4 linked regions of the Styela clava genome follow. The protein of the gene in region 2 binds, or shares a complex with, the protein of the main gene of each other region. Links are inferred from orthologs where the notes say so. Each region holds a gene or a part of one and is shown on either strand. Other genes may lie near its edges.

Region 1 (7,537 bases), on a different chromosome or scaffold from region 2:
AATTTTAGAATATACATGGTGTCCATAAAGTCCCCTTAAAATTTCAATTTTGTTACGAAGTCAGTTCTAAATATATTTTGACCAGGGTTGTTGTTTTTTAATCAGTAATTGTCCAAGTTACATTTGTGAGGGCCAAAACAATATATGGCATCGATAAAATCTCTGCCATTTTAAATTTAGCAAAGCTGATGTGTGTAATTGGTGGCAAAGTCAAAAATGTTAGCTTTGCCTGGCAGAGAGAATGTGGAATGGTTGAGACTCACATCAATTAGAGTAAATCCCCATCTGCTGGAATAAGTTTCATTACAACTTCAACTTACTGGCCCAATTCTGTTTCCTGAAAGACTTATTGTTGTTAATGCAGTGTTAGATATGAGAACTTGAGAGAAAACAGCAGCTGATGGTTCAGTCAAGTCGTTACATGATAAGTTGATATCTTCTAATGTGTTGTTGTTCAAAAGTGCTTTTGCAATGGCCTGACCACCAACATCACCCATTCTGTTAATGTGAATGGTTTTTCATTATGAATTGAACCTGGGATTTCCAAAACGGAATAACCGATATATATTATTAAATTGACACTGAATGAGCCTAAATTTGTAAAAAAATTAGTTACTCTTCATCAAACAGATGAACAAAACATTTGCATTCTCAAATTGTTATTATGTGTCTCAAATTGGAGATTAGAAACTATTGAAGAATTTACTATATCCAATGAGTGGCGGACAAACAAAACCTATTTGATGGCAATTATAATGCATGAAATGAATACTTTTAGAATTGATTTTTTAACCTAAATCTGGTTAGGTATAATCGTAACCGTGGCAATGGAAACAATATGTGTATGATGGTACCACGCAATATGTCCATATAAGAAATTAAAAAAAAAAAAATTATGTGCAAGTGTGTGATTGACACTAACCTGTTCAATCTCAGGTTGAGAGCCTTCAATTTTGAATTTTTTGTGATGGAATATGCAATTGCTTTTGCTCCTTCTTGTCTTATGATGTTATCACAAAGGGTAATTGAAGTGAGGTTTGGGCATCTGCAACATATTTAAAACAATTTTCAATGATATTACTCTAATTAAAGTAAGCTCGATAATATACAAATTAGCAATTCACCTGTTGTTAATAAGTTTTGCGATTCCTCTTGCACCCTTATCACCGATGCAATTATGTGAAAGATCCAGATTAGTGAGGCAAGGATGATCGAGAAGATTGCTAACTAAAACTCGCACTTTTGCGTCATCTACCTTGCTTTTATGAACACATATTTTTTTCAACCATGTGCAGGATCGCAGTGCTTTTGCAACTAGAAGACAATCTCGTTGTGTGAATTGAAAAAGATTCCATTCAAAGTTCATTCCACAATCTCGCACGCCATAAGTTACTTTGAATTCTTCCAAATTCGGAAGTTTCTCCAGAAGTTCTCCAAATTCAAAGTGGTCCATTTCAGGACTTTCCGTTCCTGCATCACTTCCCATATCTGATGCTTCTTCCTCTTGAACTCCGGGTTTCGTTGGTTCTTTTACAGGAGGAAGAAGTTGTTTGATGTCTAATCTTTTGACATATTTCGAGCATAGGGGAATGGCGTTTGTAACTACATCATCGCTAGTTTTCTCTGGTACAAAATTTTCCACAACATCTTGCATATATCTTTCAAAAAACATCCTTTTCCAGCTTCCACCATAATTGGTGACGTCACATATGTGGTATCTACAAAATTATGTTTGAACTTTGATCAAATCAGGAGAGGATTCTCATATCTATCTTGGGGAAAGTTAATGGCACCTAATTGCATGGCATTGGACTCTCAACCAATTACCATTTCATGCCAAGTATGGGAATAGTTAACCTGATAGTTGTTTCACTGGGGAAGGAAGGTGTAACTGGCCACCGGATGTAAAACCACCTTATGATGGTGGGATGTGTGCAATACTCTCTCACTTCATTATCACTATCCGCACAGGATTTAGTGTGGTCTGTCAATCGCTGAGCAGGTTATAACAAGACACTAACTTCACATGTAAAAGATCCAGAGAAACGAAATACTTGGAATTTTCAAATATTTGTCTAACCTGATACGGGTATGAGTTCTATTTATCTATTATTTAAACTTTTTTGGCGCAACTTACTTAGCTTTACAACATCTTTTCCAATAGGATTCATCTTCAACCAAGTGAGCTGTTACAATGATATCTATTTTTGGTGCAATTTTATCAAGAACTTTGTTTTTATCTTTTGGATGAAGTTCTTTCAGTATTGGATTTTCTGGAAAAATGTAACATACATAAATACGCTAAAGCTGTTGTTATTATCATTTTAATTCAGTTTTGAATATGTTTAATAGGAATTACATTAAATGGAGGTTATTTTTATTAGAGTACATTATTTTCCATGTAAATAATAATCTGATATATAGCCCAAACTTATCTGAGCCAGCAGTGTGACAGTGGTCTCACGATATGACATGCTTTTTACCAATCAGCAGAACAGTGTATTTAAACAGTTAGACAAGTCCTTACTTTCAAAATTGTCAACAATATGGTTTATCACTAAATCTTTCAAAAGAGGTACTGTTGCTAATGACCAATCAGGATCTTCTGCAATTATTCTTCTTAAAACCTTTGTATCATTGGGAATCGTGGGTGCTGCTGAAGGTTGCAAAGAATCTTTTTTAACATTGGATCTTCTGTCTTTAACGACCATGTTGATTATCAGTTCCGGTAACCGTTTCTCAAACGAGTATAAAAACGAAACGTATATAATAACTACAGGAACAGGTTTTACGCTTTTAGAAACAAAGCCATCACCTTTCCAAAAAGCACTGGCGGAGACAAAAACCACAACTGCTAAACAACGCGAGCTAGTAACCATGGCAACGTATCTGCTTGTTACAGCGAATTCCATCGAAATCTATTTTCCATACCGAAACACCGATTTGAAAATTCATTTTTTATCAATAATATGCAAGTAAACAAAATTTAATGACATTTCAAATGATAAAACTATATAAATATGACGAAAGGCGGATCTATTATCAGGCAGAATTTGATGCCACATCTTTTTCTGGCTTTCCGTGGGTTAACGACCACAAACTTTCAGCGGCAGTTCTATTACAGCCGACTGTTTTTAGAATTGTACATAAATATTATTTCAAATTTTCTCATTTTTTGATATTGATTTTTGCACTGTACATTGATAAAATATTCTCATTAGACAAAACATTTTACAGATTGTCACGGGCTACCTTAGATTCTATACCTCACTTTTGGTCTCTTGAATTGCTATATTATAACTCTTTTTTGAGACTTACTGTGAATCTGATTGTCATATCAGGTATTTTATGTATTTATTGCGTTATTTTTGTTTGCTTATGTTTATTTGTTGTGTTGTTTTTATATGGACCACAGCGGTCTGGAGTAATAAACGAATTGAATTAATGGCTTGCATACCTAGTTTTATAACGGATTTGAGGCCACTAGCTTGGGTAAGCTAGCAGACTTTTAAAATATCAAATTTAATTAAAGATGAAAACTTTACAGAGTAGCATCCTTTCCAAACTACAATACCCCAAACACAAAATTCGAGTCAGAAACGTGGGACGGCTTTATTTTACTAAGCATAACATGCATCAGCAGTCACGAAACATTTTAAGCAGCAACAAGTACAAAAGGCATTCCTGGTTCACCATTCATTTGACAATTCAACTTGAGCTGGAGACATTTTAAAAGACACGAGTTAATTATACACCATGCATATAACTTAAATATGACAGGTGGCAAACAAAAGTGAACAGCACATAAAAATATGTGGTTGTGAAAAAATTTGCAGTCTTTTGACTTCCGCGGACTGTCAAGAGAAAGTAAATCCAGAATATTTTTATTAAACTTGAATCGTTCCTGGTGGAATAAATTGCAATTAGAGCGATAAATAATTTAAAAAATGCATGACAAATGATTGACTTCCTACCAAGGTAGTATCATCCAAAAATGGGCTGAAAGCTGCCCAAAAATATCACAAGCAAAATCTTCAGAATAAAAACATTCTTTTTGACTGATGATATAATCGTTGAATATGATGAACTCCAGTTAATGATTCAGAATTTATATTAGGTGAAACTTGAACAAATACAATAATATTAATTTGTTCGAGAATGTTTTTCTTTGATTTTCCAAATCTTCAATCTCCCAGATTAATGCCGTCATGGAAGAAAATTACCAAAAAATAAACAACTAATTGTTTCATTTTTTGAGCAGTATACAATAAAAACGGGAAAATAAAAATATTTGATAAAATCATGCTCTATCTACAAAGTTATTTTTAGCAATTTAAATCTAGTTAATTCTATTTTTATGACACCGTTTAGAGTGACAGTTTTGCTACTAATTTGTTTCATACAACTGTTTCAGTATCATCCCCTCAAAAGAAAAATATACTGCATGAAAAGTATGAATGAAAAAGATTCGGACTTTTGAAGAAAGTATTTAAATGTCTGAAAATCATTTTAATAAAGCAAGACAAGAGATTTTGAGTTGTAAAGTTTTTTAAAAACTGCTTTCATACAAAATATGCCAATGGGAGATCGGAAAATTAGATACAAAGCAGCACCAAAGTTTGAATTTTTTTTAGTTCTTGATAAAAGCTGAAAGTCATTGAATATTATAAACAGATCATAGGATAGAATCGATTTAATTTTAATGTTAAGACACCAAACTTGGTTATGAACAGTACGACAGTAATATAGTATATAATAAGTAAATGCTAAAATAAAGGTATAATATACATTTAGAGATATTAGACTTGAAGTTAATGAAAAAAATGGAGAAAGAAATAAAATAATTACATTTTTGTCTACCGGATCAACATTCTCAATAAAAAAATAAGAACATGTTCACGTGCATTTGCTTGGACAGTTGCCATCATTGGATTGAAATATGGAAGATGGCTTTTGTCTTAAGTGAAGACAAATTACACTGCTATTTTATACACTATTTAAACCAAATAAATCTGCATGAAGCACAAAAAAGTACATTCATCAAAAAATCCAAAGAAAATTTAAGTTTGCCAAATATTCAGGCTTTATAAAAGCGTCAGCTCTCAGCTATGAACATATTTTCATCCCAGTAACAAGCCATTATTGAAGGTCCATATGGTTGTATTTTGTGTAGTTTCTTCTGATAACAAGGTGATCCAAAATTTGAACAATGATGTCGTAACGAGAGATAATGAAATTTAATGATCTGATTGAAATTATATTTCTCCATTCGGTTCTGCAATGCCAATATTATCATTAATATAAGATTGAAAGTAGATAGCATTGGCAATAGGTGTGAATATCAATATGTGCATTCAAAATGAGCCAGTGCTAAAAGCATGTATAAAAGCAATCAGGAAACATACCAACACACATGCCTAGTACTCTCCAAACTGGGGGTCTCGATCTCCCATGGGTTGTGAAAAAGCACGCTGGGAGTCGAATTAATCTTTTTTGACACTACTAATTTCGGTCTTCTGTTCGAAAATATGCAAGCACAATAATAGTATTCTCAGTTTATTTTATATTTTTAATTTTTCTGCATTAAAATCTACTTCATTTTTATTTTAGTTCATGAAGAGCAAAAAAAAAAATGGGTCATGACGAAAAAGTTTGGGAGAACACTGCTTTCGTTGATGTCAGAATAACAATTGTTATAAATCAACATAATAACATCAATAGAGAGAATGGGTGAATAATTATCAATTTTGTTAGTTCTGAGATATCACCACTAGTTAGACTGCTATTGGATCGATAAGAAAAAGCGGAACAATGTGGTTTCAAGTCGTCATCAGCCCAATACACTCCCAAAGGATTGGCATAGCAAAATATTCAATATAGAATGATATTGTCATCAAAGAAGCGTGCAATGAAAGGCAAGCGATTTTACGAGTGATTTAGATTGTAATATATTTTCACCAATCACCATACTTTTTTTTTCTCAGTACTGAACATAGTCACATTTCTTTATTCTTCCATATAAACAGACAGCACAGCTGTTTTTTTTTTTCTTGAAACTATTACTGAGCAAGATCATGACAAACCCAGAAAAAGCGGAACAATGTGGTTTCAAAACACCATCAGCCCAATACACTCCCAAGGGATTGGCATAGCAAAATATTCAATATAGAACGATATTGTCATCAAAGAAGCATGCAATGAAAGGCAATTTTATGAGTGATTCAGATTGTAATACATTTTCACCAATCACCATACATTTTTTTCTGAGTACTGAACATAGATACATTTCTTTATTCTTCCATAAAAACAGACAGCACAGCTGTTTGTTTTTTTCTTGAAACTATTACTGAGCAAGAAACTATGCTACAATAACATATTCAAGACTTCATGTTCGTTGTACCTGTTGTCTCAAGAGTTCGCAAGCATCACATATTCTTCATACAAGTTGATCAAAATGGATTTGTTGCTGAATCAAACCATGCAAAAATGTTAACAGCAAACAATTAGAAAGAAGTGATTCAAAACACATTAGTGTGAAGCATTCTTAGTGCAAGTCTGATGGCTTAGCATTCACCAAGGTGTTTGAAGGATTCCGATCAAAAAGCTCGAAGGTAAATCATGGCCATCGTTTTTCAATAGATCAAATTATTAATCAAACAAAACAGAATAGACGATCAAAATCGAGCCAAATTTGAAAGATACCAAAACTGTATATTGCATTTATCAGAATCTTTAAAAGTGATACTATGACAGGATTAACAAAGACTAAAGAATTAACAAGCCCAATATTATTTCATTACTGCCCAATCACAATATTAAGTTTTTCCTATGAAGTGATAGAGATTTGAAAACTGTGACACACAGTAGGAAGTGATCAAAAATGTTTAAAACTTCGAAAATGTATGTGAAAGCATTTTGAGTCGGTGCCATATTTAATATGATAAAAAGCATGCATGAAATGAACATTGTTCAAGTCAACAATAAAAGTATAAAAATTTCAATCCTATTTGGCATATATAGGTAATTTAAAATATTGATGTCCCAGGAATTCGAAATTGTTGTTTCACCGATAATGTAATAACAAAACGCGAATTATATCACAGTGTTGGGGAATCACCAGAGCAAGAACCATCAACACTACCTCAAAATGTTCAAATTTCACGAACCCCGCTTACATTATTCATGCAAGATGAAACACCATGATAAATTGAATTACAAATTTCAAAATATTGATAAATGGAATTATATTCTGTCAGAGAATACAACTGATAATTTCAGCAAAAATTGTATAAGGAAACCTCACACGAAGGCTTATTGGGACTTACTTCTTTGACTAGGCGGAATTAAATGTTCTGGTAATTTGTCAGGAAGATCGTGCCCATCAACTTTCAGTTGTATGAGATGCATACTCAAAGCAAATTCTTCATCAGTTAATGCACCATCTTTATCGTGATCTGCCAACTTCCAAATTTTGCTTAGTATGGTATTATTGAGTTTGGATTTCTCCATGACCTGAAACATATACGAAAATGCCCTT
Region 2 (7,979 bases):
ATTTTTTGTCACCAACAAAGCAAAATGCACCGAAAGAACACTCAATTGAATACCGATCGAAACGTTGAAAATTAAAAACTATTAAGGTGCACGGATAATAATACCTTGGTTTTAGTTATGATTATCTGGCAAAACATTAGCTTGCTAGATCAGAAACAGTTTGAACGACAGCTTCGATGAACTGAGGTTATCTGAAAAATCAAATCTTGAAATACAAAAAGTTGTCTAGAAAGACATTCAAAGCTAATTATTTACAAATCTCTATTGTATCAGTACATTACTTCCTACCATACGTATGTTTCTTAATTAAGTATTTCGCGCTCCCTAACGCAAACTTTTAAAATAAATTACATATGTGGTTTTCTCAATTTACACATCAAAATATAACATGAAATCTTGGTAGATAAGATGAGCATAGCAGAAGGAATACAAACAATAATTATAAAAACAGGCGGCCCTCAAAACTCTCACTCCTGCGTGAGTTATTCTTTGTGTTACATTCAAAATTTATTGAGGACAAGCTGTACCCACTGCGTTTAATATCGGTATCAGCCAACAACTAACATACCACTAAAATATAATGACTAATGCGCTGAAACACGTCTACGGTGTAGTTTCACCTCACAATGAATCTATGCCCGGTTGTGTTTCAGGCGTAGTTCCTTTGTTAGGTAAATAGTTAATAAAGCTACTAAAGTAAAGATTCACTACTAAATCATTGGTATAAAGAATTGCATTTGAACATCGCATTGTTGAAGGTAATTTTTATAATTGTTTTGATGATAACAATATATATATAGAAAAAACAATCGACAGTGACTACAAAACCAAAATAATATTGTTAAAGAAGAGCAAAATATTAGGAGAAGCACATGTTTTTTAGCTGTATTCAAGTTGAAGGACACGAGTTGGTGGAATCTCGAGCTCTCTGTTGACTTCGGAAGTGATGTATTGGTGGAGTAGCATTCTCAGTTCTGCATTCTGTTGCCTAAGGCTGTCTGTTTCTTTTATTTTAACATCTCTCTCTGTGAGTACTTTGTGATACTTGTCAAACGCTTGTGTCAGTGCATCCCACATCTTCAGTTTGTGCTCTGGAATGATGTTTGCCATTGACTTCCAAAATTGTTCGTCTTGCGAGCCATCACGTCCTGGTGCAGTCAGTTTGTTTGTACCTTTCGATTTTCTTCTTTCTGTAGGTTTGATATGTTCTTGAACAAATTGTTTCAAAACCTTTAAAACTTCATTTGGATGCATATTTTCTTTCCCGTCCATAGTAGATGACACTTCATGATCAAGAGATGATTCACTCACTTCGTCACTGAGTTTTTCTTTGTGTTGAGCAAAAAAGGCTGCCAATTTATGGATGTCATCCTCTGATTCGATATTTAAAGCTTTAAATATTGCATCCAGCTTGATCAATGACCTTTCTTCATTTTGAAGGGGACGTAACAGCTTGTTCAACTTTTCCTCGACAAGAAATCCAGCCTCATCACATAATAGTTCCAAGACTTTCTTAACAGCACTCAAAGAAACTTTTGTACTTGAATGAGACTTTTCATCATCAAATGTCAAAGGCAAACTATCATCCTGTTTTGGTTTTGCCACTGATGCCAAAACTTCTTTGGCCATCATCAAAGCAGATTTTTCCTTTCCTTCTGTAGCTGCCAGCAATGGACCACGGGAATCCATGAATGCGGTATCAGGAGCAGACCACGGCAAGCCAAGCTGTTGCTGATGTATGATGCAGTCTGTATTCAAAACTTTATCAACAAGTTTTCGTACTTCTTCTTCATTCATACACCAGATATCATGAAATTTTTTGTTATCAGTTGCTGAGAAGTGCTTCATCTTTTTATGTAATTCCTTGTATTGCTCTGCTATTCTTTTGTAGTCATCAACGAGTGATTGATTCTCATCTTTGTATGAACGTTCCTGCTTTCCTAGCTTGATTCTAAGGTTATTCAAGACATCTTGAAGTCTGGTAATTTTTCTTTTCTGCTGTGACTTAGTGATGGTATTTTCCTCATCACGTTTTTTTAAGACTTGAAAATTGTATTCTAATTTTTCTTGATTTAACTGATATGTAGCTTTCATTTGTTGCAATTGTTGCTCCAGAATTTGTACATCAGTTTCTAATTTAATCTTCACCATGTTATATTCTTCAGCATCCTGGGTGCGAAGTTGATCCAATTGGCGCTCATGTTCCTCAACTCTTTTTTCTCTCAGTTTCATGTGATCTTCTTCTTTATCTCGTCTCTGCTGCATCATTGAATCCCATTTCCGTCGATCAGCTTTGTTCATATCACTGCGACCATCTGTGTAAGCATCTTCAATTTGTCTCAGCTCTTCTCTGTGTGATTTTGTTAGATTTTTAATTTGTTCTTCCATTCTTTCAATAATGAGATCAACATCTTCTGATTGCTTCTTCAAATCTTTGACATATTCATCATCTTTTTGTTTTAACTCTTGTTGTAAAATATTTATCAATTTATTTTTTTCATCGATCACAGCGTCACAACCTGTTGTTTGCTCTTTCAACATATCATGTAAATCCTGAGGGATCTCCTTCATGCGAGCTGCTGACCATCGTTTACTGATTTCATCGAATTTTTCAGCAGATGCCTTTGCTTCTGCTTCAAGTTTTTCAACCCTTGCTCGTTTAGCTTCTTCTTCAACAATTCGATGACCAGACTCACGAGCATCACCGGCAACTCGTACATTTGTTACAAGTTCATTACCATCTCCAAGGAGTTTTTTCAGGCGTTTTCGACTTTCTTCAATCTGTTCTTTTCCCTTTCCTTGTTCTTCTTTGACTTCTTTTTTCATGAGAGCATCGTCACCCAGAGCTTCTCTTTTGAGCTGCTCGATTCTATGTTGGATTCGGATCCTCCTAGCAAGGATTCTTTCTTCTGGATTTACAGATTCAACCGAAGGCCCACTTTCTTCGTCCCCATCGTCAACATGTAACATATTTGTGGTATGATATGAATCACAAAAACTATTTAACACTATAAATAGACATAAAATAAGATATATTACTTAGTGATAATTAGAAAACACAGAATCAGAATTACTCTGTCATTCAGAGAATGTCTATAGCTATAAGAATTGATTTGATACTTTTATACCGGGTTAAACCCAGTAAATTAATCCGAAGTTTATTCAGTTACCTGAATATTTTAGTTTGCCTTGTTTATACAAAAAGTCACTGCCATTTCAAACACTCAGTGCATCACAATCAAGAGTTTCTGAATTTCTAAGTGACTCAATTTAATCCAATTCAAATCGGTAAGAAGCAATTCTCCAAAATATGGCTCAATTTTATTAAATAAATTATTGGGCAATGAGACAATGTCATGATGAAGTAAGTCTAGTTGTCACAACATCAAATAACATGTCTCCTTCAGTTTTCTTAAATTCTTACATTTAGGGTGGCTTACCCACTTTGCGGCCATGACCTATCTGCGACCATCAACTTCATCGATTAAATTAATGCCGAAAAAATTAACGAACCGCGCCGATATTTCTCACGCGTTATCGTCCACTTATCCCTCGTAGCTCTACGAAATTACACTAAAATGCGGCCATAAATGAAAAAGTTACGACCGAAAACCTGACCGAAGAAAAAAAACGGACCATTTTACCATGTCGCCAACTACCCATTGTTCCTTCAAAAAAGGTTGAAAATCCATACAAATATAAGAGATAAAAAGATGAAACTTGGAAGGTGGGTAGAGTTGTGTTTCTTTTAACCATCTTTAAAGTTTCGCGTCTCTACCTTCAAAGGAGGGGGAGTAGGGGGGTGCGCATTTCCAATACGTCAATAATATCTTTGTCAACTAATTTGCGACCACCGTGTTTTTGTCTGTTTGATTGCTGTGATGCGGTGTTTGTTTATAATTTGAAAAATTTTGTTCGAAATAATCGTATTCTTAAAATATATGACGGTCAGAAATGCAATTAGAAGCCCATTTTTTCACGCATGGCTGCGTATTATCTAGTCTCGACGCAGCAGAAACGATGTTCAAGGATTGAAATCCGTGGTCGCACACTGGTCGTTCGGTCGCAAATACGTCTTCAGAGTGTCGTACTTTGGTGGTTTGTATAGCTTTAACCCCTGGTCGTAGAAAGTTAATTCGAAGTTCAGCGTGTAGAATGAATGCCAATGCACCTACGGTGAAAAAATTAACAGGTTAGAAATATTGGTTTTTGTTTTATAGGGGTTTGAATGAAATCGTCCGCAGACTGGCTACACCACCCTACATCTACTCTACTACTCAAAAACTCATTAAATTAAGTAAGATGTCTTTAAATGACCAAGATACTGCTATTATATCTATTTAGGCATGACTCACTGGAAGACATTCAGACCTCACTACTTTTAGAATTATAGAAAATCACTACAATAACACATTTTGTATATATCAGTAGCGACATTTGTGAGAATTCTCTGACGGTCAGTATCAAATGAAAATCCTATACCCGCTATTGTTTAAAAAAAGCTTACATAGCTGCATATTTCAGTATTTGTCTCGACTACAATAAAATAGGCGTTCGATTTCGACGCATTCACTTTTACCTGACGACCCGTGTTACGGTACCGGTAAGTCTTCCTGCTAGTCATATTTCCTGCTATCTAGTCATAAAATAACCTATCTATAGTTCGAATGCAATTAAATTCAACAAAAACACGATGCTACAGACCACTAAACAGAATTTGTTTCGAAAATAGAACACCTATTCTATGCTTACATTCCTAATCGCGATCAACCTTTTCAACTAGTCATGCCTGGATGATAGTGCTTCGTTTGACTGGTTGCTATGGTTATTATAAAAACCAATGGTGCGAAAAAATTGGCAATCTGTTCACGATATTTTATACTGAATCCCTTTTTTGCTTAAATATCATAAAAAAATTCAATCCAAAGTATTTTATATCTATGTGAATACATTTATACCAACAATTTGGATCCTTTCGTTTGCAAAGTACAGCCCGAATCCATAGCAACGCAGAAGCGCGAAGTGCTTGCCAAAGACTAAACAAATAACACTTATTTTTTTGGTGCTCGTAGTGAGCGGCTAGCGCCGTGATTTTCCATTTTCTGTTTCCTCTGCATATCTCCCTTCCTTGAATATATTTGATTCAAAAATGAGTCGCCTTTATGACACCGTTGAACCTGCGGTAATCGACGATGAAATGCTCAGAAAAGCTGTAGAAGAGCAAGGCCCGAAGGAAGAAGCTGGTCGAATTGCAAAACAAGAAGGAATTGATTACAAAGACGTGTTGTCATTAAGACTAGATTTTAGAAGTAAGTGGTAAAAACGTTATGGCGAAATATATCACAAAAAGGGTAAATAAACCTGTAAATACAATGACAGACAATTTTTTTTGAAAACTTAGCTAGCTAGTTTTTATTTTTACTTTAGGTATATTATAAGTATAATAAGTATAAGTTTATTTCGACTCCATAATCAGCAAAACAATAAAATGAATGCTAAAAATAAATAAATAAAAACTGATTATGAAATCAGGAGAGCGAACAAAACCCTAGATAAGGTTTAAAACGTACAGAATGTATATAAGATGGAAGGTTTTGCCAAGAAGATGTGGTACGTGTTCACTCACCTAAAATAATTGAAATATTTCACACACGCTCACACGCACCCACACACACAACCATATAGAAGTTATTAAGTGAAGGGAACAGGAAAAATTACATCTTACATATTATGCTAAATGGACAATATTCATATTTTGTGGTGATTATAATGAAATTTCAAACTTGAAGTTAGGAAGTCGTGCATATTAAACAATTAACAAGTTTGTACGAGTCAACTATTTTCATGCTCCACTCTGTTGTGTTACCGAACTCGAAAAAAGGGGTCTCCTGTAGTTTCGTACCCATTGTACTTCTACTAGGCGTAGCATAACAATTTTTTTACAAGTCAGTCCTAACCCCCACCTGACTTCGCTATCCAAAAATTACGTCACTACGACGTCACAATCACGTCATAGAGCTTGCCAAACACACATCCGATCGCCCGAAATGGCATCGGTGCCGACGATGAAGAACTGACTAACGTCAGCGATCTCTCTCCTATCAGGATCGCTGCGGCGAAAAAACGAGGGAAATAGCTGTCCGATTTCGGGTTCTCTTCTGCGCGTCTTGGGTGACAGTTCGTATAGTTTGAAGGGCTCTATTACGTCACTGTGACGCCGTAGTGACGTCATTTTTGGATGGTGTTGTCAGGTAGGGGTTAGGATTGACACGTGTTAGTAAATATAATTTTATGAAGTAGAAGCCTTCTACTCATATTCTGACCTGTCAATTTCAGTCTAAATTATCTCTCAAGTTTTCATTTACAATCTTTCCATAGATCTTGCAGTTATTTTTCTCATTTGCTAAATCCATAAAAGCTTAAATAATATGGCTCTTGATAGTTTGGTCAAATATTAGAAAACTTTATTACTGATGCCCATTTGTGATAAATGCAATGGATAAGTTATCTGCTCTGTTTAATTTGTATCATCATTTTATTTTTACTTATTTACAGATATATTGAAGATTGATAATCTTTGGCAATTCACAAAGCTGACAAAATTACAATTGGATGACAATATTATTGAGAAAATTGAAGGATTAGATCAATTGGTCAATTTAGTATGGCTAGGTATGATACTCTCTTTATTTTATCATAAGATGTTATTTCTATCCTTCTTTCTAGTGTTCCCTGCCATCATTGTTTTAATGACATATGTAACTCAAGTTACGTTGCTTTTTTATTATTTATTCATTTATTATCTTGAAGGGGGGGAGGACTTTAGGTCAGAAAAATTTTACAATGAAAGGAATTTTTTGACATAACAGTTGAAAAAGTTAAATTCACCATGAAGTAGAAGCTTCAATCATAAATTGGTAAACCTATTTTTGTATTCAAATATAATTTTAATTACTGTATATTGATTTCAAATACAATGAATTACAGATTTGTCTTTCAACAACATAGAAGTGCTAGAAGGTTTATCAAAATTGACCAAGTTAGAAGATCTGACTTTGTACAGCAACAGAATATCTCGACTAGAAAACATGGATTCCCTCAAAAATCTACATGTACTTTCTGTGGGAAATAACAAGCTTAATCAGCTTGACAATGTAAGAAGTATTCATGTGAATCGCCTTGAATTATACAGTAATCAGACTCAAGTTGATTCAATGAGCAATTTTCATTTTTTTTGCTCATTTGGTATTTCTTTTAGAAAGGAACTAATATTTAAATCAGTGTTTTTCAAATGTTTATGATTTGTGGCATCCTTCCAAAGACCTTCGGTGACCTCGTGCTCTTCTAGTTCTGACTTTAACATGAAGCGGGGGCCCAGTTTGAGGAACCCTGATTGTGCATTTTCTACATCAGTTATAACAAATACTTCCCAATATTTAATCAAAAATGATTGAATTGAGGGTCCGAGTCATCCGAAGTCCATCAAAATTTAAACTTCGAGTTCCATTTAAAGTCACTGTACGTCAAGTCACAAATTCAGTCAAATTGCTATTGTCCCGATTTGTAGTGTATTCCATGAACAACAGTGCATTAGTCATTGACTCTGCTTGAGTCTCCTCAACATTATATTGAAGTATAGCCTTTATGAATTATGTTATTTCAGCTCATCTACTTGCGTCGTTTCACTAATTTACGGACATTGAATTTATCTGGTTGTCCCGTATGTGATGATCCAGGATATAGGTTATTTACTGTCGCTTATCTCTCACATCTCGTGTATTTGGACTTCAGATTAATTGATGAAGACACGGTAAGCGTATGTGATTTAGTTTCATCTGCAGTGAAAATGAAATTAACTGTAGTTAACTTTTTATGAATTTTTTAAGTTGTTGGTTATATGAGATGCAATTTCTGTTAGTGCATTGTTATTAAGTATGATTAAGTCATATGTTCTATAGCTCAATTTTAAGCCCTATGCT
Region 3 (7,834 bases), on a different chromosome or scaffold from region 2:
CAGATTCAACTTCGCTTTCGTGAGATAACGCATAACATACGAAAGTGTCTAACAGACCAATTGAGATAGATGAATAAAAAACTATCGAAGTGCTTTGCACAGATTCAATGACCATTGGCTGTTGCAAGCAAGGAATCAAAGTGTGAGGCAAGGTTATTAAATTTCAAAAAACAGTAAACGAGAATATCGGTCGGAGATTGAAGACTTATGAATTGAAACTGCGGTCTCGATTCGTGACTCTATAGTGACACCACGTGTACCATCACTGATTAATTAATAACTCGCTAATTATACGACATAATTATACCTCTTCTTTTTTCTTTAACAGAGGACAAATCTCCCTCGATTCATCATAAAGACAAACTTCTTTTATCGCGTAACCACTGACAACGTACGCATCATAACCAGCTCCGAGAAGAAAGAGACAAAGAAGGTTGCTAAAGTCGAAACAATTTCCTATCGAAAAAAAATAAAAAACAGATACAAATATTAGTCTCTGAGATGAAATCAACTTCCTACCGGGGACGTTCGAAATTGGAACAGCTCTATTTAAAATGTCAAAGAAAAGTATTTTTTCTGTATCACACATACCAATTTTCCGTAGCTTGGAATGCTTTCCAGACCCTCTGGCCGGGATCAACTAGCACCAACTTTGCAATTAAAAATGTCAGAACCCCCTTTTCGAAAATTGAAGGTCACAATCTTGCTCCCTCTATATCAAGGAATATAAATGGCTGCATGTACAGAGCCTTGTTCAGAGAGGTAGGCATAAAGAGAGTGAAAAAGTATGAAAATCTGTTTCAATAATTTTTAAATTAAACTATGCTGTGACTTTAAACCTGGTTTCGTATTTATCCCAGAGAAGAGAAAAGTTGATTCGATGGCTAAATTGAATGATGAGCCAAAAAAAAATGGAAATACAACTTTAGACAATTTGTCATTGTGATGTGCCGCAGGGTGTGTATTCTTTTTTACTAAAACAACAAACAATCCAAATTATTCAATCTTAGCAATCTCTGATTTTCATCAAAATTGTATCACATATAGATTAAAAATAAAATTCTTGAAATCTACCTTTTTGCTGTTTCAAAATAGTTGTCGGAGAATAAAAAGTTGTCGGCAAGTCACAAGGGGGATCCAAGGGCATCATTGTTATGTAATCTGACACAAACTCGGCACAACCTTGCCAGTGATAAAGTTCCTTGAATTTTAGAAGTGTTGGGCGCATCGTAGTACAGACAAATTTCTGTTAAAAGGAAAAATTTGTAGCAAACAAAAAAGCAGAATCTCATTCCACATAATACAAGTCTTCGCCAAACTTTTGTTTTAACATAGCAGTTCTATACATGATGGAGAATAATTTGGTGAAGTCCAATTCTAGTTCTGAGGGAACTTATGGATGAACACCATAGGAGTTGAACACCAACAATCTTCTGACACATAATTGTTAATTTTTTTTTATTTATTTCATTCTATAAGACACTTTTCTGAAAGTATGGTCACATGCACCAACTCTGAATAAAATATACTCATCTCTGAGCAAAATTAAAGACAACACTAAGATGCCATGGGCTATCGAAACTCTATAAAATTATGATGATGACACAATTGACACCAAGAGTAAGAATATTTACCTCAATTCCACATTCATTTAATGGATTCAGGAAAAGAGGTTTTCTATCTCTGAACAGATGAACATATTGCCGACGAAAGTTTTCTGCGTTTTCCAGAACTAACTTTTCTTTTGGAGAGTTTTCTTTGTACGAATCTGGAAACTCTGACAAATCAAACTTTGGGATTTGAGCTGAGACACTGAAAATTAACAAAATATCAATGTTATGATGACGGTAATTGAACATTTTATCTTCATTTTTTGGGGATTGGTGGGAGGGTGGTTTGGGGTCAAAACAAAGGATGTTGAAATCATTCATTTATATAACCATTTCACGAGATGAATGATTGAATTTATAAATGGAAAATTTTGCATGCGCAGTTACCCACAACAAAACACAAGCTTGCATAACCTAAAATAACGTTATGAATATGACACAACAGTAAGGCACAGTTCTCTGATTCCAAGAATAGCCCCTTCATGATAAAGTTTCAAGCATAAAAACGTCAACAAAAAAAGTTTGAATATGTGATGACTGACCCACGTCGCTATCAATTTAAAATATTATAGAGACAAGCATGTCGTAATCTAACAACTGTACCCTACTACTACAATTCAGCAATTGGCATATCATGCTAACCATAAAGAAGAAGTTAGTATAAGTATAAGTTTATTTCGACTCCATAATCAGCAAAACAATAAAATGAATGGTAAAAATAAATAAATAAAAACTGATTATGAAATCAGGAGAGCGAACAAAACCTTAGATAAGGTTTAAAACGTACAGAATGTATATAAGATGGAAGGTTTTGCCAAGAAGATGTGGTACGTGTTCACTCACCTAAAATAATTGAAATATTTCACACACGCTCACACGCACCCACACACACAACCATCTAGAAGTTATTAAGTGAAGGGAACATGAAAAATTACATACTGGTAGTTAATAAAAAATAAATAAATAAAAATTACTTGCCACACCATATTGATAAATTTATCATGATTGCCACTGCCAAATTGATCAATTTTATAAATGGGAGTGAACAGTTTTCAATCACAATTCTGAATAGCTTGAATAATCCAAACTGCTTAAATATATATTTGTAGGAATTTCTTTATTGTATTTTTAGTTTTTCTTTGAAAAAAAAATAATAAATTGAACTCACTCGCTTATTGGAACAACAATTGGTGGAATCGCGGCATCTAATTCAGCTTTCAACTCTTCTACTTTGCTCTCGACATCGGTTTCTTGTTCTCCCTGTTCCTCCTCGCCTTCTTCCTCTTCTCTCGTCGTCGCTTCTTCAATTTTATCCATTTTTGAAAGTTATAGACTAATATTGGAACGACTGAAAGGAAAGGACCGAAACGACTTTTCAGAAAGTCGAAAACCAGCAGAGCTCTCGCGGCGTAACTACGGTAACAAATATCACATCTTATGGGTCAATGACTTTTACGGGTCAATTAATCAATATCCAGCGTTTTGGGAATATTGTTGTAATTTTATTACATTTTCAAAGCTTGTAAAAAAATTCTAGTTTTATTCAAAAAATTCAAACAAATTAAAGTCACTGTGAGCTAAAATTTCGAAATAGGTAAGCTGAAAGTCACGGGTCAGTGATCCGAAAATGTAGGTTGTTGCGAATTTTAAATTTGAAAGAGATATAGGTATATACCGTACCGATTTTTTGATTTATATAATTTAAATATTTGTTTGTGAAAATTTTATCTGTGTAAACACCAGCGCCATATGATTACTGTTGATGAAAATGAAAAAATTCAGGCCAAACTGATTTTCGTACGTCAGCACGGAACCACGGATTAGGATTCGTCAGTTTGTTTTGTATTTTACACACTACAGCAGTTTCTAAATTTGTCGATATTTTAGTGATTCAAGATTATATAATGGGTTTACTGAAAAGTTTTTGGATGGATTTCACACAAACCATGAAAGCGAAGGAGAATATAACTATGATACATTTCTGCTGTGTTGGTTATTTCTATCTTCTGGCTTTCTCTGCATTGTATTGTTGCCTTTTTATTGCGTTTCCGATTATCTACCGACACGACGACGATTATAATTGGAACTTGTTCGCTTTCTTCTTTTTGTTTATCAACATGATCGGGAATCAAATACTTGGAACAGTTTATAATTCTACATACACAGATGGTATGAATATATTTTATGATCTTTATTTTTTGCGAGTCTTTTAATGCTGTAATGTCTGAATGTGGTACCATTCAGAAATAAATCATTATCTCTCATTATCAATATTTCTTCATCACAGTATAACCGTACATACCGTGATTCCCCAAAATGAGACCTATCCCATATTTAAGAATAATTTTAATATAAGCGCGGCGGTGTGGCTCCATGGGCTAAGCGTTAGGAATACGCTCGCCACCGCACCTCTAATTACTCCAGTACTCTGCGTGGGTTCGCAGGTTCGAACCCATGCAGGGATGGTTATGTGCGAGAGGATTGCTGGACTCCTCGCCGTCGTTGGGTGGTTCACGTAACCGCTGGTCGGTTACGGCTTCCTCCACCACCAAGTCCATGCCTCCGAAAACAAACAATAAAACTTATCCCATACCCGACTTGGAATGGTAACCGGACGAGAGGCCGTGGTTCGCCATATGGATAAGCCGTCCAATCGACTTTCCTCTCCCCCGGTATAAATATGTAAATCCTATCCCACCTATAAGCTCTCCCATTAACGTTACGCTTCGGTGCTCCCTACAGTTGAACGTCGCCAAATGAATACAAATAGCCTAATACATAGGTTCTCAAAGTGCTCCGTACGGAGCCCCAGGGCTCCGCGAGAGTAACCCAGGGGCTCCGCGAGCTATTCGATTACTTTTCAAAATACTGACTTGGCTAATTTAAAACTGTTCCTAGAAGCAATAACAGCTTTGATGAAATTTGACAACAATATAGCGTCGAAATATGGCAAAGGGGCGGAATTAAAAAATTCAAATATGTATTTATGCACTCTCACTTAATTTATGTCTCACGCTTCCTAACAAATATGGATGACTATGAATTGTTTTCTTCAGGTCTAATTCTCAATCCTCCCCCCAAATCCTGGATTCTGTGCATGACGTGTCAACAACATTGTCCTCCACGATCTCACCACTGCCCCGTGTGTCAGAAATGTATTTTGAAGCGAGATCATCATTGTTACTTCTTCATGACATGCGTTGGAATCCAGAATCTTAGATATTTTTTACCTTTCTCGTAAGTTTGAACATTTTATTAAATTAAATTTTGTTTGTGTTTATATTAGTCTCAAATCGACGTTTGAGTTATTGAATTGTTTGGTACTTTTGCTGCCTGTTTTTAACGCTAAATGTTTGTTGGACTTGGTATGGTTCTACCTAAACAAGCATGATGTGATATTAATAGACTGCAGATTAATTTATGTGAGAATTATTAGCCAGTTGAGCAAAAAATATAGATTGATATTTTTTCGAATTTCACATGTCAATGCATAATACGCACCTTATTCATAAGACAATATTTGACTTATTTGCTTTGAAAGTGAATTAGTATTATAGAAAGTAAAATACACAGAGAATACGATATATACTTTCCTATCCTCGGGATAAATTTTGAAAACCTCATGATACTTATATTTCAAAATAATCACTTGTTTTTACAGATTCTACGTGGGGATTGGATCACTTTACTGCGTCAAGCAAATGTTATCATATTTGAACTATTCTTACGTTACGATAGAGTTTTCTCTGAGTGCAATTTTCTCGTACTTTTTTCCGGGAGTAATGTACAACTACCTATGGAGCGGCGAAGGCAATTTGAATTTTGACAAACTGTATTGTATTTTAGTCTTATATGGGTCAGTGGTTACAGGTATAGGAGGTTCATTTTACTTTTTATCCGAGCTTTTTATATCGATGAGGGGGCAAACAATTTACGAATTCGGGAAAGATATTAGAAAATACGATTTCGGCTTTTTGAGAAATATAAAACAAGTTTTATGGCCGTGGGGAATTTTGTACTTCCTAATGCCCTTGCCAGTGCCAACTAAAGAGATCAATGCACCCTGGGGTACTCCAAAGTTTGTTAAAGGTATATAAAAGAGTGTCCATTGTAGGATGAGTAACAAAATGAGTGTCGACAATGCAATAGCTTCTACGCTGCATGGCTCGACAGTGTGGGCCATCGTGCTAAGGATTTTGCTTGTTGCTACACCACCGATTACCCTTCGCAGGTTCGCATTTTCGAATCCCTGCACTTCTTGCTGCTGTTGTGTGGTTCACGTAACAAACTCACATGAACTGGTAACAGGACAAGAGGCCGTGATTCGCCATATGATTAAACTGGTCTATCGGCTTTCCGCTTCCCTGGGATAAATAAGTGAATTTTAATCTACCCTAATCCCATACCCAACATGGACTGGTAACTGGACGAGAGGTTGTGATACGCCATATATCTCTCCAGGATAAATATGTAAATCTTACCCTATAAAATTTTATTTTCATCCTGGACAAGGAAACTACTCAGGATTCACACAAAGGCAGAGAAATTGTAAATTACTGGCAACAGTAATTATTTGTTTACTAACCGGTGACAAATACTAACAACTGAGATTAAATTTCATACTTGAGGAAAAAATCTGGGTGCTCCTGAAGTAGATGGCAGACACCGGAACGTAGTATGTGTACGTAGGGTTAGGCCATAATTTTAGGTACAGATACTATGATAAGAAAACTTTGAATAAAATTATGGCCTAACCCTAACCTGGTACACATACTACGTTCAGGGTGTCCGCCATCTTGGTACGCTTACTTCAAGAGCACCAAAATCTGAAGGTGAGCTGATTGGCGATTGCAGCAAATGGATCAAAATACTACCATCTTTTCCTGAGGTGGCTCTAAACCTGTTGGAAGTTATAGATTTCTGTATGTTATCTGTTTAATATGACAGCATTTTAATATACAGGATGGTTGGTAGAAAAACGAAAAATTTGCCAAACAGTTATTTATATTCACAAAAAATAACTTTCCCAAAGTTTTTTGAAGGCCTATGTTATAATACTACACAGAATATTACAGAAAGGGTATCGAACTAAAGAAAACCTAGAACCTAAAATGTATCGGTAAAGAAGTGAGTAAGCACGCATTTTATTCGTGATCTCATCTGACCTTAAAATTTTCTGCTTTTCCAGCAACTACCCTGTATATTCATATACAAAAATGTCATTGTGAAATGTGGACTCTGGTTTGTAGAAAATATGCAATAGTAACTGTACTATTTACATGTGCTTTAGATGCTATGATGATTTTAAGCAATTTTGTATGTTTTTTATACTGCAGTAAATTTGAGTAATGAATATGAGGTGTTATTTAATTATGCCGGTGGGATGGCACACATTTTGAGAGGAAGATTTTGAGATATAAAGGGTGTCCATAAATTGTGTTATGAAGTCAGTTTTCGATATATCTTAACCCAGGGTTTCCTGTGACGACTGTACCAGGGGCCTGCTACGATATGAAGCGAATCTAATCGATCTTTAATGATGGATTCCAATGCGTCTTTTTGGTTGAGCGTTGCAGACGATATCAATTGCTGTCAGGCAAGAAAATCAAAATTTTATCGATTTGCAAAGACATACATGTAATAGGCAGCAATTTTAGCTCTTACCAGTATGATGCCATAATACAGGTCAAACCTTGAGGGTCTGTCAAAAATAAAATCCACAAACAAGGGCTCGCGGCCCAAAAAGTTTGTGAACTGTCTCAACCAGTTTTGTTGTTTTTTAATCAGTAATCGTTCATGTATTTTTACTTCATTTGATACATCTGTGAGGGCCAAAACAATATCTGGTATCGATAAATTCCCTTTTGCAATTTTTGTGCGTGAGCATGAGTGTGTTTGAATATTATTTTTCTACAAATGAGCGTACGAATGTTTGTCGTGTATCAAAACTTTCTATTTTAATAAAAGTATACACATTTTAACCAGGTTTTATGAAAGCCTTTATAGACAATATTCACAGTAACTAGTTGGTTTTTCCAACAAATAACCTAGCATGACAGACAAAAGGTATAGTTTCGCATATGAACAAGCCATTTCCCATTTCGCCAATCAGGGCGAGATAAATTGGTAGAAAAAAACCAAACCAGAAGGATCCTATGTCTTCAGAAAATATGAGCTCATCACATAACAGTATCTGCTTGTCTGGAGACTTGAACCAAACAAAA
Region 4 (8,016 bases), on a different chromosome or scaffold from region 2:
CTTTTTGCCTATTGTTTAGAAATTGACCGTTTATGTTGAACTTCAAGATGTCTGAGGAAGTCATGTGGTTAATTTAAAATTTATACATTCCATCAAGTTATGAACATTCAGCAATAAGTACCTTTTTATGAAGGCCAACAAGAGTAAACAGCTTCAATTTTATTAAATCATTTTTTTAATAACAAATGACTTGGAGGTTTAATACTTTGGTTTACAATATGGAGTAGTTTTAGCTTACGCTATAATTTAATCAAGTTTCCTCAATAGCCATTAAAGAAACATAGTCTTTGTATAAAACAACGCCACGATCAGGATCAACGGCAGCAGAGAGAAATTCGTCCATTTCTTCTTGTGTAAAAGGTTCTCCTTCTTCAGTCATATACTTTGTGATTTCTTCCTGAGACAAGCATCCTTTCTTATCCTGATCAAGAACTTCAAATGCCCTGAGCAACTGATCTTCAGGTGAAGGTTTATATCTGGAGGTGGAAATAGAATACTTTGCGATATTTGTTTTATACTTGCGTCGCTAGGGAAATTACTTTACCTTAAGCATGATTGATAATACATGCAAATGCTGTATTGTGATTTCTATGATCTAAAAGAACTTTTTGTCAAATATCATCCAAAACAATGACGCAACTGTTGAACTTCATTACAAGACTCGATGCAAGGAATAACGCGGAGTTGGACAATAAACATTAAAGTTGAATTAAAACTCTTTTTACACCCATCTCTCATGTTCAACATAGTTCTGTTGCTGAATATAACAATATCTAATTAACATATATAATAGCTGAAAAAAACAGATAAATTTAATGATGCAATTATATGTCAAAAAACAAAAAATACAATCAATATATAATGGCAACATTTAAGATTATTGCATATCCATTCTATGTGGGGTCACCAGAAACAAAGTAGCGAATATCTTTTTAACGACGACAACATACCTCCGTTCCATCAAAACATGTGTCATCATAGGTAAAAATTTCTCAAAGCGTATGTAACCTGTTGGTTCCTCTTCTTCTATCTCAGCCAACATATCATGCAACTCTCCTATATCAACATAGTTTCAATTAATATAAATTTGTGATATTCAATGTAAAATTAAGATCCTGACATCACAGTCAATTTAACTTTGCATTGAATGTTAGAAATTAAGGTTCAGTTTTTTTTAAGATCAGTGATATCAGTTGTCGGCTCATACATACCACTTCACACACAATGTGAGAGTAAATTTCTTTCATCACAGTAGCTAATATATTAAAGTGACAGCTTGCATGAAGTCATACAAACAATTATGTATAAAGTAAAGCAAGCTCTATAAATTAGCATTAGCATACTGAATTGAAAATAGAACACTGATGACTATTCAAAATGTAATAATCATACTGCTTGAATTGATCCCTAAAGTATATCACAGTTATGTTGAACAATGTGAGCCGAGCAGTTTGTACATCCATTATGACAAATCGTCGGTTTATTAAATCACAACAATGTCTAAAACTATGCAATTCAAGAGTCTTGCTGCACACTAACACAAATGTATTTCTGTAACGTTAGATTGAGACAGTTAGTCACGCGCAACCTCTACTGATAGTTGAATGTCTGAAACATTTGCAAAAATAAATCATACCACTGCGACACATATGCCAATAGTTACCTAACATTTTATTACAGAATTGTAGACAGGCTATTAGCTTAAATAACGGAAACTGGAAAAAATTATACAAGATACAAACATAAGTAAACTACACTAGTACCTTCTGATGGGCAACATCCTAGTGATCTCACAATTGTTCCGATTTCTCTAACATCAACTGTTTTGTTTGCTTCGTGGTCAAAGATTTCAAAAGCATCTGTAATTTTCTTCTCAATTTCTGCCAGCATAGACTCTGAAATATAAATTAAGTCAGTAATCTAAACATATATTTCAATAATTTTCACTAAATATACATGTTTGTAATAGTTTGGCAAAGGATTCAACTTCCAAATGCAATAGCGAAAAATATGCAGTAAATTATAAGATACATTAACTTAAAATATATACATTCACTACAGCAAATTAAGGAAATAAAGTTTTCTATAATGTGTGTGATGCTTCGAAAAATTTGAATGCTCCTTGTTTCAAACACTTATGTGGTAAAATTGTCAAAATCTAATACACTTTTCATCTAGAATAGAATTTACATATTTATCCTGAGAAGAGTAAAGCCGATTGGACGGCTTGATCGATCATATGCTGTACTGCGGCCTCTCATCTGGTTTGTAGTTAGCCAGTTATTTATTTTATCATATTATGGACTTCTAATGGCAGAGCAAGCTGTAATTGACCAAAAGTTATTTATGTGAACCACCCTACGGTGACAAGGATTCCAGCAATCTTCTTTCACATAATTATCCCCCAAAGTATTCGAAGCTGCAAACCCACGCATGGCAGCATGATGATCGGAGGTGTGGTGGCGAGCGTATTCACAACGCTTAGCAAATTTTGCCACACCACCAAGCATGCATGCAGACATGCCATACAGTGTTGAGTTTCCATATGGTATTAATCCAGAGGATTGCTGATGTAGACCACTGGTACCGTACCTGCTTCATCTCATAGACTACCGGTACCGTAATTAAGCATGCCTACTAGATCCTGTAGATCTGTAGATCAATATGCAAAAGCCACAAAATCTAGTTTTACGGTATATAGGTACTAGGACAGTCAGACCGTGAAAATTTACCAGCAATAGTGTAAGATTAAATCAAGTTCGATTACTGGATTACATAATTTGTTGCGATCAAAGCTTTTCAGTGAAACTTGTTTTACCTGCCGATTCTTTTTCCCCGGAATCAGTCATTGCGCTAGAATTTTCGATGCTACAAATCAGATAATATACTCAGTAGCCAGTCGTATAAACCAATATTACAGAAAAATCTGGAGTAACAACATAAAGGGCTCATTCCATAAGCGCCATCTTATTCGTAATATTTTGTTGATGCCAGGGTCAGCGTTTCATGACGGTCGCCATAACAATCATCGGCTAGTAGTGGTAGTAACAGGCGTCTGTTGGGACTAATCCGGATAATTTTTGATACGATATTAAAACTTCAAATATGTTTGCATAAATGTTCATGGCTCATGATACGTTTCTTCGCAACATTTAAAATAATTTTGTTATGATCTATTGCCGCCTGAAACAAACAATATTCAATGTTAAATAAGCGAGACCATGTATTGCAGTCGGATATCATGCTCCCCATATCTCGACATACGACTAAAAGTTACTTCAATATTTTAAATATATACACAAGATCGGTAGACACAAAATCTATCCATTTACTAAATTGTAGTTGTTTAAGAGGTTGTAAAACACGAAGTGGAACTACATTGTCCTGCGCATTAGGAATACCATTTTCATTGCATCTACGATTATTTTGTAAAAGTTCGCAGGAAATCTGTGGAAACATAATCATTGGTATACTAATATTAGGCCTTCTTTCGCCATGTGGAGCAATCAACTGGTAGACTGTCATTATTCGATTAAGCAAATAAATAATTCATCTTATCACCCACCTCTCCCCTGTTAAAGCTATGAAAATCCTTTATTAAACAGTAAAACCACAAAACTGATGATCGAAACAAAGACTTTAAAAACGAACATCTTAAAACGAGATATTGGAATCATAGGAACCCATTCTAGGGCATAGGATATATAGATTTCACACAGAATAAGAAAGCCGATAAGACAGCTTAATCATATGGGAAATCGCAGCCTCTTGTTCAGTTACCAGTCCATGTTGGGTACGGGGTTAATTAGCCAATTATTTGTTTCAGATGCATGAACTTGATAGTGGAGGAAGCCGTAACCGACCAGCAGTTACATGAACCACCCTACGGAAACGAGGAGTCCAGCAATCCTCTCGCACATAATTATACCTCACAGGATCCGAACCCACACAGTGTAATCAGAGCACTATATGAAAATATCATAGACTTGTTACAGTACAGACATTAAAGACTGTAGTGCAAAGTATTTGATTTCTGGTGCTGTAGCCTACAAAAATAGGTTTGACTTCATCTCTTCAATTCATTCAGACATACAAAACAAATTGTTGTATTAGTTTATTGCAGTAGATATCGTAAGATGTCGCAACACAATAGTTTAGCAAAGACAGGCTAGTTTTTCCAACAATAGATGAAGACTATTTATGAGATCCCTGACTCTGTTGAATCAGATTTTTAACTCTTATAGAATCATCCAAACTTCGTACTGTCAATGACTCAGTTGGTCCACACTTCCAACACATTCCATGTTCGTCTATCAAACTCGATTCAACAATGATATTATGATTGCCTTGATTAGAAAACAAGTGAAATACAATTATGCATTTATGACAGTTTTGCAAATTTTTATATTGTACATATGAAAGTATTGACATAAGTACATTAAGAAAAGGCTGTCAAAGTGTCAAATATAATTCTCTGCTGCTGTGAGGACAATAGCTGGCACAGATTTCCCATGCAACTATTTGCTGATATACAAAATCATATAGCTTATATGAAATGATTCGAAATTTCAGGAACAGGTTCTCTTATTTCACTCATTTTAGAAAACCATGCCGAACTTATAGCTATAATAACAAGAAAACAGGATTGTCGATTATCTTTACATTCCAATAACAGGCTCACACAAACCTGTGCAAACCCCCTTAATCCCACTGCTCATATCACTACTGACATAGCCCAGATTAGTTGTCTGCTAAAACAGTACAAGTCAGGCAGGCCATTACAACATAAATCAACACTCTTACCCTCAATAAAAAAATTTAAAAAAATTGTCATAATATGATTGGAATATTCTGGTCTATCGTAATATTTTCAATTCGACAAGGTGTCCAATAAAATTTTTGACTAATTTTTTATTTTGAGGGTTGATTAACTGTAAAACAAATTGAAGGGTCTGTGAATATTTTTCAACTATAAACTGAGAATTTAAGTCAGCACAAAGTAGATGAAGATGGTTTCTCACCCAAAGCAGGAAAAGAGAGTAAAAATTGTGTGCTGAAATAATCATTGTGTGGTTTCACTGTTTCTTCAAGAAAATTTCCGGAATCAGAGAGCTGTAAAAATGTTATTCTTTGTTAAATTTGTTTAGAAATGATTGAAGATCACTTTACGAAAATTATTTTGAAACAAGAACTTTTTTATTCTAAGAAAACGAATGTAAAATAGAATTGTACATATACAAGTTAAAGAAGTACCGATGTAAGTCGGTATCAGTCATTTTTTTTGGTATGGACTAAAAATAAACTGTTATTTCTGATATGTTCAGTCCTTTGATCTGATCTGGAATGTTATGAAGTATAAGTTAGTATACATGTATTGATGACTAAAATAATTTTTTTGCCTTGGAGGAATCATGTAGGCGACATTTACTGCCTCTTATAACGCTTCACTGGGGTTGGTTAATCGACTGAATGACTTTAGATGGTTACTGGTTATGATTTATTTTGACCACTAGCTGACATCTCAGGTATAAGCAGTAGTGGTATTCAGCCGGTTCGCACCGATTCTATAGATCCGTCTCACAGAATTTTATGAGATCAGCGAACCGGTTAGCATTACTGAAAAAAACATGATTTTTTGTAACAGAACCGGCTGAATTTGTGTGATGGAACCGGGTGACAAAGAATTTGAATCCCACCACTGGGTACAAGTATTACCTTTGTTATGTAAAATTACTTCAAAAATAATTAGACATCGCAAATTTCCCATGACTTTTGATTAAAAAAGTATCACTCACTGTATTGGTGAGTACCAATAGTGCAGAAGTAATTTAACTAAAAACAGTGAACCAATTCATTGTTAATGAAAAAAAAATATACATGATTTAGTCCAAGTTCAGTCCAAGCAAATTGGTTAAGACATCATGACCACTCAAAAAGTTGACAAAACTCACCTTGACATTCATAGATGCTTGCCTTCCTTGTTGAGCTTGATTAGTTCTTAGTGATAATTTGATTTCAGAAACATGCCGAAATGCACAACGTTTTTCTTTTCCATTATTACCAAAACCACTCTTGCTTGTTGCTTTGTCTGCTTCTCCCAATGTAGTACCACCAGGTCCACCATGTCTTATCACACCTTCAATTTTGAGAGCTAACCTCTCACACACATCAACAGTAACCGGATCATTAGGCGATCGCTGACTTGGTGATATAGCAAGCTTAGAAAAATTTTAAAAAACATGTCAGTATTCATCAAATTTAAAAAAAAATGGTTATATACAAAACAATACATCGCACATTAACTTACACAAGTAGAAATCGCAAAACATCTATTTTTGAAAAAAAATTTTTTTTTTTTTTAAAAATGCAAGATATGAGCATAGAACATAATATGAAAACTAATTAATTACAGGTTCATTATTTTTCATATTAACTACCAATATTATCTTTTGTATGTAGTGACATGTAAATCAAATTGTTTACTCGACATAGAACAAGTCGAGAACGATTTAAAATATTTCTCATACCTTTATTGTAGTTGTTTGTAAGCTCTGATAGAAGTATCTCGGATAGGAAATTGGAATTGAAAGCAAAAGAGATGCACATTGAAGAATGCAGTCTGCGTGCTGTGAAAAAAAAAAGTTTTGGCAAATATGTTACCATTCATCAATACATATTCAAGCCAGGCCCAATATATGAAATTAGCATTGAATATCATATGTCCATACATATTGAGCCATGAAAGGTAGACTCCATAAGCAAAAAGGAAGTGCATAATTAAAGTTCACATAAACAGTAAAGATTGACACTTTTCTAAGGAACTAATTTTATGCTGGAAACCATAAACAAATTCAATTACCTATGACGTATTAATCTGATATTTATAACAATTAACAAGTTAACTCCTTGTATTGAAAATGTTTTTCTTTCTCTTCAATATTGGTATATAGCAATAACATTTTTCTACACAAATATTCTCGTCAATGTTCATAGTTTTATTCGGATATCATTTGCCACGACCCGAACATGACTTGTTTCGAGATAGTGTTTGACAAGTAAATAAGTTGGCCTTCAAAACTACAATTGCAAAAAAAATAAACGGCAAACAGACAAAACTGTATTTATCAGATTGAGTCAAATTTTTGACTGCGTTCGTAGAGATAAAATATATAAATCCAGAATCACAATGCAAATTCAAAATATATTATAGATAGAAAGTAAATACAAAGTCATCAATAAATGATGTGACAGACCAAATGAAAGGTTAAAACTATAATATCCACTCACTATATTGCTGAATGAAGATGAAGATGCAGAACTACGAAATACTTTATCCAATTTTGACATGATTGTATCGAATGTCTCCAGTAAAACCTGAAAAAAATGAATGAGAATTCGTTCAAGAGTTTTGCTAGTCTAAAAAGCATTTCAAGCTAAAAAATTGCTATGTATGATACATAAAAAATTTTTTTTTACATTTCAAAAGAGCGACCCACTAATGCCCCCTGGGTTTGCCCTGGTGACCGCAATCCCGAAAAAATTAATAACAGGCTAACTTATCCCATACGGTATACCCAACATGGACTGGTGACGGGACGATAGGCAGTGGTACACCATATACCGGTAATTAAGTTATCTTGTCGCCTTTCCTTTCCGTGGGATAAATATGAAAACTCCGAATTGCCATCAAAAGGTAACTCACATTTCTACTGCTTAGCAGTCACCAATCTACCTATGATTAGCTATCAACCAACATTTAAACCAGAGCTTATTTATTTCCAGACTTATATGCTCATGATGTTTTTTCATATTCCACTCACAAAACTACTTACTGTGGTATTATAATTATCTCTTTCTATTGATAAATCTTTACTGAAAGAGCCAACCCTTCTTATCGATGTGGCTTCTTGTCTGAAATGTAAATAAATAAAATACTATGATGTTTAGGTTGAAATATATGGAAAATATATATATTTATTATAAAAAAATATTTATTTTATGTTAATACTTCACTAG

The links.
Region 1: dynein regulatory complex subunit 3-like (region 2) and dynein regulatory complex subunit 5-like share a complex: the UniProt entries of both Homo sapiens proteins name them as parts of the nexin-dynein regulatory complex. The link is inferred for Styela clava from reciprocal best matches to the Homo sapiens genes DRC3 and DRC5.
Region 3: dynein regulatory complex subunit 3-like (region 2) and dynein regulatory complex subunit 7-like share a complex: the UniProt entries of both Homo sapiens proteins name them as parts of the nexin-dynein regulatory complex. The link is inferred for Styela clava from reciprocal best matches to the Homo sapiens genes DRC3 and DRC7.
Region 4: dynein regulatory complex subunit 3-like (region 2) and dynein regulatory complex protein 8-like share a complex: the UniProt entries of both Homo sapiens proteins name them as parts of the nexin-dynein regulatory complex. The link is inferred for Styela clava from reciprocal best matches to the Homo sapiens genes DRC3 and DRC8.

The regions. Positions count from the first base shown.
Region 1 is NC_135255.1:14,431,315-14,438,851, reverse strand, and holds the start of dynein regulatory complex subunit 5-like, read right to left. Parts: upstream 3,017-7,537; 5' UTR 2,913-3,016; coding exon 2,528-2,912; intron 2,274-2,527; coding exon 2,138-2,273; intron 1,719-2,137; coding exon 1,125-1,718; intron 1,046-1,124; coding exon 923-1,045; intron 499-922; coding exon 321-498; intron 1-320. Other genes in the region: EH domain-containing protein 3-like, read right to left, coding at 5,256-5,275, 7,326-7,512. UniProt on the Homo sapiens protein: Component of the nexin-dynein regulatory complex (N-DRC) a key regulator of ciliary/flagellar motility which maintains the alignment and integrity of the distal axoneme and regulates microtubule sliding in motile axonemes.
Region 2 is NC_135262.1:17,139,220-17,147,198, reverse strand, and holds the start of dynein regulatory complex subunit 3-like, read left to right. Parts: upstream 1-4,972; 5' UTR 4,973-5,149; coding exon 5,150-5,309; intron 5,310-6,555; coding exon 6,556-6,672; intron 6,673-6,987; coding exon 6,988-7,154; intron 7,155-7,663; coding exon 7,664-7,810; intron 7,811-7,979. Other genes in the region: dynein regulatory complex protein 1-like, read right to left, coding at 880-2,970. UniProt on the Homo sapiens protein: Component of the nexin-dynein regulatory complex (N-DRC) a key regulator of ciliary/flagellar motility which maintains the alignment and integrity of the distal axoneme and regulates microtubule sliding in motile axonemes.
Region 3 is NC_135255.1:21,594,758-21,602,591, reverse strand, and holds the start of dynein regulatory complex subunit 7-like, read right to left. Parts: upstream 3,002-7,834; 5' UTR 2,928-3,001; coding exon 2,779-2,927; intron 1,813-2,778; coding exon 1,635-1,812; intron 1,247-1,634; coding exon 1,075-1,246; intron 457-1,074; coding exon 308-456; intron 1-307. Other genes in the region: putative palmitoyltransferase ZDHHC24, read left to right, coding at 3,515-3,779, 4,667-4,847, 5,272-5,707. UniProt on the Homo sapiens protein: Component of the nexin-dynein regulatory complex (N-DRC) a key regulator of ciliary/flagellar motility which maintains the alignment and integrity of the distal axoneme and regulates microtubule sliding in motile axonemes.
Region 4 is NC_135253.1:7,972,415-7,980,430, reverse strand, and holds the start of dynein regulatory complex protein 8-like, read right to left. Parts: upstream 3,008-8,016; 5' UTR 2,850-3,007; coding exon 2,819-2,849; intron 1,896-2,818; coding exon 1,764-1,895; intron 1,057-1,763; coding exon 951-1,056; intron 477-950; coding exon 251-476; 3' UTR 1-250. Other genes in the region: integrator complex subunit 7-like, read right to left, coding at 4,195-4,346, 5,022-5,112, 5,952-6,218, 6,528-6,626, 7,288-7,374, 7,833-7,911. UniProt on the Homo sapiens protein: Component of the nexin-dynein regulatory complex (N-DRC), a key regulator of ciliary/flagellar motility which maintains the alignment and integrity of the distal axoneme and regulates microtubule sliding in motile axonemes.